Linked DNA regions of Neurospora crassa OR74A. The protein of the gene in region 2 purifies or fractionates together with the protein of the main gene of each other region. This does not show direct contact. Links are inferred from orthologs where the notes say so. Each region holds a gene or a part of one and is shown on either strand. Other genes may lie near its edges.

Evidence for each region. The genes of interacting proteins can lie anywhere in the genome.
Region 1: the proteins of NCU06767 (region 2) and NCU02687 purify together in Saccharomyces cerevisiae (co-purification; 7 studies listed by BioGRID, with this or other methods). This does not show direct contact. The link is inferred for Neurospora crassa OR74A from reciprocal best matches to the Saccharomyces cerevisiae genes RFC1 and RFC2.

Annotation. Positions count from the first base shown.
Region 1 is NC_026501.1:3,203,443-3,206,985, forward strand, and holds NCU02687 (activator 1 41 kDa subunit), read right to left. Parts: upstream 2,236-3,543; 5' UTR 2,061-2,235; coding exon 1,948-2,060; intron 1,875-1,947; coding exon 1,796-1,874; intron 1,712-1,795; coding exon 740-1,711; 3' UTR 539-739; downstream 1-538. Other genes in the region: NCU02686 (hypothetical protein), read left to right, coding at 1-473. UniProt on the Saccharomyces cerevisiae protein: Component of ATP-dependent clamp loader (RFC and RFC-like) complexes for DNA clamps, such as the POL30/PCNA homotrimer and the checkpoint clamp DDC1:MEC3:RAD17 complex.
Region 2 is NC_026502.1:2,003,984-2,008,275, forward strand, and holds the start of NCU06767 (replication factor C subunit 1), read left to right. Parts: upstream 1-1,416; 5' UTR 1,417-1,697; coding exon 1,698-1,803; intron 1,804-1,865; coding exon 1,866-1,911; intron 1,912-1,967; coding exon 1,968-2,009; intron 2,010-2,072; coding exon 2,073-4,292. Other genes in the region: NCU06768 (mitochondrial 54S ribosomal protein YmL47), read right to left, coding at 79-245, 315-456, 541-981. UniProt on the Saccharomyces cerevisiae protein: Component of the ATP-dependent clamp loader RFC complex for the POL30/PCNA homotrimer DNA clamp.

The DNA.
Region 1 (3,543 bases), on a different chromosome or scaffold from region 2:
ATGACCCCAACGCCATGATGTCATCGCGTCTAGTCAACCCGTGGGTATCAGCTGCCGACTCGGCCAAGATCGCAACTTTTGAGGTGGTAGTGGAGAAAATTGAGAAAGGGCAGATAGCGCTGGAGGGAGCAATTCGCATGCTAGGCGAGGCTGATCGGTTGTTGGGACGTGGGTTGCAGCAGCAGCAGCAGCAGCAACGACAGCAGCCGGTTAAAGCGGCTTGCGGAGAGGAGGAGGGTAATGATGATGATAATGATGGCGATGATGATGAGGTGGGCGAGGAATCTGACATATGGCTTGTCGAAGGGCAGAAATCGCTGAAAATCACAAATGCAACTGGTGGATCGGGACTTGGGACGAGATACGATGAGGGAGGCAGGAAGGGGAAGGAGACAATTGGTCACCGTGAGGGAGGGAGCTTGAGCATGTGGAATATGGTGGATGTGCATGTAGGACTAGAGAAGTCTGGGTAGAGGCAGCCATAACTATCGTGTGTTGCGACGGGAGACACCTCGGAACACAACTGGTGGGCGAGGTGCCAGGGATAAAAGACCATTGTCAAGCATTTGTCAAGAAAGAAGTCTAGGACTAGAAACACCAAAATATGACCTTGTAGTGCGATGTAAATGACCTGCCATTTTCTGTTGCCCAAACCGAAACTCCGAACCCAGTGATATGTCGCCTATCTTTGAACCATCTGCTTCTGTCGTACCCTTTCAGACTCTTTAAGCTTTGGCCGTTACCTCCCAGCCATGATACCCGATATCCGTAGCGCCAGGTCGAGTACGGACAGATGTTCGTCTGCGCCGTCCACCAGCCTCTTATCCACCTCCGAGAACACCATAACAATCTTGTTCTTCTGCACATCCGGGATCATCTCGTCGAAAACCACCGCCTGGTAGAGCTGCGTCATGGTCTGCCCAGCGCTCCAACCATCCGCCACCATTTCCTCGACCACCTTGGCAACCGCAGGGTACGTATCCACCCCAGCGCGGGGCCGCATCGCTTCGAGTAACCTCTGAATGGTATCGTCCGGGATAACACCAGCGATATCCTCCACGACCTTGACCGTAACCAATTTGGCGTCCACTTCCATCTCGTCGTCGCCTTCGGTTTCTTTTTGCTCCCCGTCTTTAGCTGTGGCTGCCACGGCACCAACTAGCCTTGCCGCACTCTGCAAATACGTAATCGCCTTTCTCAAATCGCCCTCGCTGCACTTGATCAGCGCATCGACAGCTCCCTCTTCTAGCCCGACACCCTCGAGCTGAGCAATCTCCTCCAGCCTCTTCTTGGCGTTCCCCTGGTCGAGGCTCTTGAACCGAAACTTGCTGCAACGACTCGCCAACGGATCGATAATGCGAGTGACGTAGTTACATATAAGACAGAAGCGGGTGATCTTCGAATACGTCTCCATAGTGCGGCGCAGTGCGCTCTGGGCGTCTTGCGTCATGCTGTCGGCCTCGTCGAGGATGATAAGCTTGAAGGGCGGACATGGGTAGCGCGCCTTGTAAGCCGCGGAGGGATTGGTAAGCTGCATGCGAGCAAAGTCTTTGACCTTTTCGCGGACGATGGAGATACCACGCTCATCGGAGGCGTTGAGCTCTAGGACGCGGGACTTGATGAGTTCGGGGCCGTAGAGCTCCTTGGCGAGAGCAAGGATGGTCGAGGTCTTGCCCGTTCCTGGAGGGCCGTAGAAGAGCATGTGTGGGAGCTGGAGGGTTGACGACACAGGTCAGTGGCTGTCCAAATTTGACTTGAGAGAGACACGAAGGGGAAATAAGCAGGTTTGACAAACGTTGGAAGCCTGTAATGTTCTTTGGAGGACGGTAATGGTGTGATCTTGGGCTGTGACATCACTGAGGGTCTTTGGACGGCTGTCGAGGAAGTCGTCAGAGGTTAGCTGGTTGAACTGCCGGCATTGAACTTGACCACCCTTGCATGACATACTATTTCTCTACCCATGGTTGCGCCCTGGGAGTTTCCTTTGTCTGTTTTTCCGGGTTTGGAGTGCCATTTGCAGCGGCCGCCTTCCTGGCCTTAATGTCGAAAAAGCTTGCCATGATAGGAATAGATCTTGGCCAGCAAAGTTGCGAAGGGTACGTTTTCCTGAATGTCAAGAAAAGAGAGAACGTGGGTACTGGGTGAGCGTCTCGCTGTCGTCAATCAAGGTGTCGCAACAATCTATTGTTGAGGGGAGCTCGTAATAGAATGGTGATAGTAAAGTAGAACTCCAAGCAGCACTTTACGCGATCACAGGAAGAGAGACCGCGTCTGGCGCGTTTCCTTTTGTGGAGCCGCTTCAATTAAAGTGGATCTCGCAAGACCCTAGCTCCTAGCCCCCTCCCACCCGGGGCCGTCCGCTACCTGGGTAGAGCTCCGAATGTTGGGTTTTGTCCCGTCGGTGCCTGGAGCTTCTCCACGTCCAACAACAAGGCGGACTGCCCTGGACACGGAGACGGGACCGGGGAGCCGGGCAGCCGGGGATCCAGGGCTCCCTCTTTCCAACTTGCTTCTGTATTCTCCCGAAAATCATACATTTCCGTTTTACCACACATGTTGATTTTACAACGTAGTGACAATGGATGCGGGGTTCGAATCATGGACCTCCGATGTCGTCAACGCTGGGACATATGAAAGCTCAAACAGGTATATCAATCACCCTGCCCGCTTCCGTCTTCCATGTTTATGCCCTGTCGTGTGGTAAGGCATCGCACTGTAAGCTCCAGTCTCGTACGGTATTCCACTTCTGGCATTTCGTTGCTGCAACCCACCTGCATCTTGCACTTGCAAATGCGGGGCGGCTACCCTTGAAAATGGTATGTAGCAGCCCACCACCAGGTGCCCCAAGTTGTCGGGATGTGACTGATTGACACTGCTTCACACTAAAAAGTACCTGAACTGGTATGTGGAATAAAAGAATGAATGGAAACGGAACCCTCCATGTTGCTTTCGTTGATATTGATCGATGCTGATTACGCACGCACGAGGATACCTTCGGCAGCGTATAATATACACGGCACGTACAAGTAGTCAGAGACGCTTTCATCCTTCGTTCTTTGGTTGCCACCTCGAAGTAGAGATAGACTGTCATTGATTGCTTTGAGAAGCAAAAAACAAAAAAGCAAATACAAGTTTGACCAACGCTGGAAAGGTTGTAATTACACACAACAGTACCTACCTCTACCTTGCAAGTTTACATAGTACGTTGTGCATTACTGAGTGCACCAATCGCTTGCTTGCCTTGGATTTATTCACTCAGTTCCTTTCGTTTGAACTCTGCCCTGCCCCGCACTCAACCTTACCACTTCCTCTTCTTGCCTGAACTCAGCTTGGTGTTGTCGTCTCGCTCGCTACTTCTCACCTCAACCACCGACTGCTACCTGAATGGGAAACAGAAAATACAACTTAAGCCATCACTCATCATTCCTCCAACAAAACATCCGCATAACGAAGACTTGGCCTTACTACCTTGTCGGCAGCTACCCGGCCATTTAATCTCCAGAGTAATTCCTTCATCGACCACTTCGCACGACTTGTCCGCCA
Region 2 (4,292 bases):
GCAACACTCTTTTGCACATTGGCCCTTCTGTTGTTCTACATAGTGTTACAATTAGAATAGGCTCAGGGTTCTCCACCTCTACGAAGGAGGAGCAGCAGTGCTTGATGTGCTCGCAGCACTCTGGGTAATCTCTGGCATCAACAACTTCTTCCTTGGGTTCTTGAGGTCCTCCACCGTGAGGCCATCCTCCAACTTGGTGATGCCAACCACTGGTGGGTCACCCTTCTTCACAAACTCGTACAGACCTATGACTTGTCAGTTTTCTACTCTTCTCAACCTCGCAAAGATTTTGGGCCAGCATGTGCTGTTATTACCTGGAAGCTTGTGTCCGGCCAAACGGAAGGCATCACGGATGACCTGTTCGTGCAATTGCCCCCTGATCTCGAAGATAATCTGGTTGACGGCAACTCTGGTCGCCCAGTGGTCGAACGAACCCTTACCCTTACCCATACGCATCTACACCGGAAATGCATGTGAGCCTCATGTCCGCTAACAGTCGGCATCCGGCCTTCCCGGGCTGTGGGTTGTTCAGCTGCTCACCTCGTTACCGCTGACGTACACACCGACGTTACAAGCAACGCGCTTGTACAGGCGGTACTTCTGACCACGCAACCTCTGCTTGATGGTGTCCTCGGCGAGCTTGAGCTGTTGGGCGCTAATTCTGCGGTGGTGATCGCGCATGCGCAGGCCGTAATCTCCCCAAACCACTGTTGTTCCTTTGGTCGAACCACCCGTCGGCACTCTGGGCCTTCCCTTCATCATCTTCTTCTTTCTGTTGAGGTTGGGCTCGAGCCACGAACCAGCCTGGATGGCGGTCGCAGAGAATAGGCGGACATGGGAGGCGACGGAAACGGGGGTCGGCGCAATGGGGCGACGGACGGCAGAGGTTGCGAGCGACGCGGCACGGAAGGGAGTCGCCGACGAGGATATCCTAAGGCCCTGGAAGGCGCTGAGGAGCGCCGAGGAAGCGTTGTGCTTCATTGTGTTGAAGGTTTGGGTGTGGACCGGACCGGGGAGGGGACGAGTGGTGGACGGAGGACGGAGGGAGGGTCCAATTGGATGCCGGTCGCCGACGACGATTGATACGGATTCCCCGAAGCAGCGCGCGCACAGAGACGGGGACCGGGCAGAGCGACTACCTGCAATGGAAGGTGCTGCGGGCGCGGACGGGGCACGGACGGCACTTCCAAAAATTGTGACCCACCAAAAAGTGTCGGGTGCCGGCCGCGACATGGAATCTGCCGGACACAGCAGACAAGCGGGACCTGGGACTCATTCATTGACTCCTCACAAGAAATACAGCTGCGTGGGCGTAGCTCAAGGCAGCAAGTTGGCGAATTCTTGTAGGACAAGGCCCCACCAGTCGCGACAGGGGAGCAGAGCCCGGACACAGACTCGCGTCATCCACTTCACCTTCGCGTCTCACTCATCATTCAATTGTTACTTCCGTCTTTACAAGGGACAAGAGTCGACCCGTTAGCTCTTTACCCTTCTAGGCCTTTTGTTCAACAACACTTGTTAGGCAGAAGGACAGCTGCCTGGACAACTCAGACACCAAGAACAAAAGTCCCTACTTCCCAACTCCGCCACTATAAGAAGATGCTTGCTGGTGTCATCTGATTGTTACATCTTCCCAACCTTTTGACACATTCAATTTATCATTTTGTATCCAGTGATTTCTTCTCACATACTCCATCATGCCTGCCGACATTCGCTCGTTTTTTGGTCCAAAAGGTGGCGCGCCGCCTGCTAAGCCGGCAACACCAGCACCCAAGAAGGAAGAGGAGAAGAAGACCCGGGGTAGTAAGCTTGAACCATGATCGCCATCACAAGCTTATCACGTTATATTAACAATCTTGTCGCAGGGCCAAGAAAGGTTGTTGAGGACAGCGAAGATGACGAGGTTGTTGAGTAAGCTTAGTGAAAAGCATCTCTTCTCAGAACTAGCATCTAACCAGCATGTGTAGAGTCAAAAAGCCAACCAAGGCTGCGCCAAAGAAGAAAGTAGCGTAAGTGTTTATGAAACACCTCTCAGTTCCATGTCATCCTATTCCTGCTGACAGACTATCTAGGGAACCCGTAAAAGGAGTTGAAACCGATGCTGCCAAGTACTTTGCAACCTCAAAAACAAAAACTGCTGCTGCGTCCCAGTCAACACCGAAAAAGACACCCGCAAAACCCGAGCCAGAAGAACCAAAAGTAGCGCTTCGAACAAGCCCGCGGAAGAAAGCCACCCCCGCTGCCAAAGCACCAGAGCCTCCCAAGACTACTACAAAGAAGACCTCGACTACGAAGAAACCCACGACGGCCTACAAGAGTTACGACAAGGATGACGATGGCGATGCCTACATGGATGATGAGCACGATGCTGGAGAGGACATATTTGCGGCGGAATTCAAGGGTGGCAGCAAGAGGAAAAAGGACGACGACTATGCCGAGGAGGACAGTGACGAGGAGCTCCTCCCCAAGCCCAAGCGAATGGCATCTCGCGCCAAAACAGCAGCCGTAGCCGAGTCTGACGACGAAGACGTCAAGCCTGGACCCAGCAAGCCGAACAAGAAATCTACAACTACTACGGCAGGGAAGCGGAAATCCTCGGTTGTTATAAGTGACGAGGAAGACGAAGAGGAAGAAGAAGTCAAGCCAGCGAAGAAGAAGGGAGCCCCCGCTAAGCCCCGTGCGCCAAGGGCAAAGAAGGATGCGGCGGTTGAAGAACCCGAGGACGTCAAGAAGATCCTCGACAATATTCCCACAATTGAAGCACCAGATGCTCCTCCCAAAGACCCCAACGTCAAGTTTGACTGGAAGACCAAGGCCGCCGGAGCTGGCAATGCGGGTCCACCCCCCATGGCGGGCACTGCCGACATTCCTGAAGGTGAAATTGATTGTCTGGCGGGTAAGACCTTTGTGTTCACCGGCCTGCTCAAGACTATCGCGCGTGAGGAAGCCCAAGCACTCGTCAAGCGCTATGGTGGCAAGGTCACAGGAGCGCCATCCAGCAAAACCGATTTCGTCGTTCTCGGCGACGATGCAGGACCCAGCAAGCTGAGGAAGATCAAAGAGCATGGGATCAAGACCATTGATGAGGAGGGCTTGTTTTACCTCATCAGGACGATGCCCGCCGGTGGTGGCACCGGAAAGGGGGCGGAGAAGGCCAAGCAGAAGCGGGAGGAGGAAGAGAAGAAGGTGCGTGAAGAGGCCGAGAGGCTAGATCGCGAAGAGAAGGCTCTGCGACTGGCGGCTGAGAAAGAGGCCAAGAAGGCCGCTGCTGCTCGCGGTGTTTCTGGTCCCGTCCCTGCTGCTCTGCCCCCACCGTCGTCACAGCTCTGGACAACAAAGTATGCCCCCACGGCGATGAACCAGATCTGCGGCAACAAAGCCAACGTGGAGAAGATACAGAACTGGCTTAAAAACTGGCCCAAGTCTAGAAAGTACAACTTCCAAAAGAGAGGCGCCGATGGTTCAGGTGGATACCGTGCTATTATCATCTCCGGTCCTCCTGGTATCGGCAAGACAACTGCGGCGCATCTTGCTGCCAAGATGGAAGGCTACGACGTGATCGAGAGCAACGCCAGTGACACTCGCAGCAAGAAACTCATCGAGAGCGGTGTTAGTGAGGTCATGACCAACACATCTCTTCTAGGTTTCTTTGGTGGAGATGGTAAGCATGCTGATGCCCGCAAGAAGAAGATTGTTCTCGTCATGGACGAGGTCGACGGTATGTCCGCTGGTGATCGCGGAGGTGTCGGTACTATGGCCAAATTCTGCAAGAAGACCGAGGTGCCGCTCATCTTGATTTGCAACGAGCGCAGATTGCCAAAGATGAAGCCTTTCGATCATGTCGCCTTTGACATCAAGTTTCAGCGTCCCACGGTCGACCAGATCCGCTCGCGTATCATGACCATCTGCCACAGAGAAGGTCTCAAGATCCCGCCACCGGTCGTCAATGCTCTCATCGAAGGTAGCGGTAGGGACATTCGGCAGATCATCAACATGATCTCTACAGCGAAGCTGGATCAGACCACCATGGATTTTGATCAAAGCAAGCAAATGAGCAAGGCCTGGGAAAAGCACGTCATCCTCAAGCCTTGGGATATTTGCCAGAAGCTGATCGGCGGTGGCATGTTCGCCCCTTCCAGCACGGCAACTCTGAATGACAAGATCGACCTCTACTTTAACGATCACGAATTCTCCTATCTCATGATCCAGGAGAACTACCTCCGTTCCAGGCCCATGGTCCTGAACCAAAAGGGCTACACTCCAAGGGAACAAAACCTTAAGTACCTCGAACT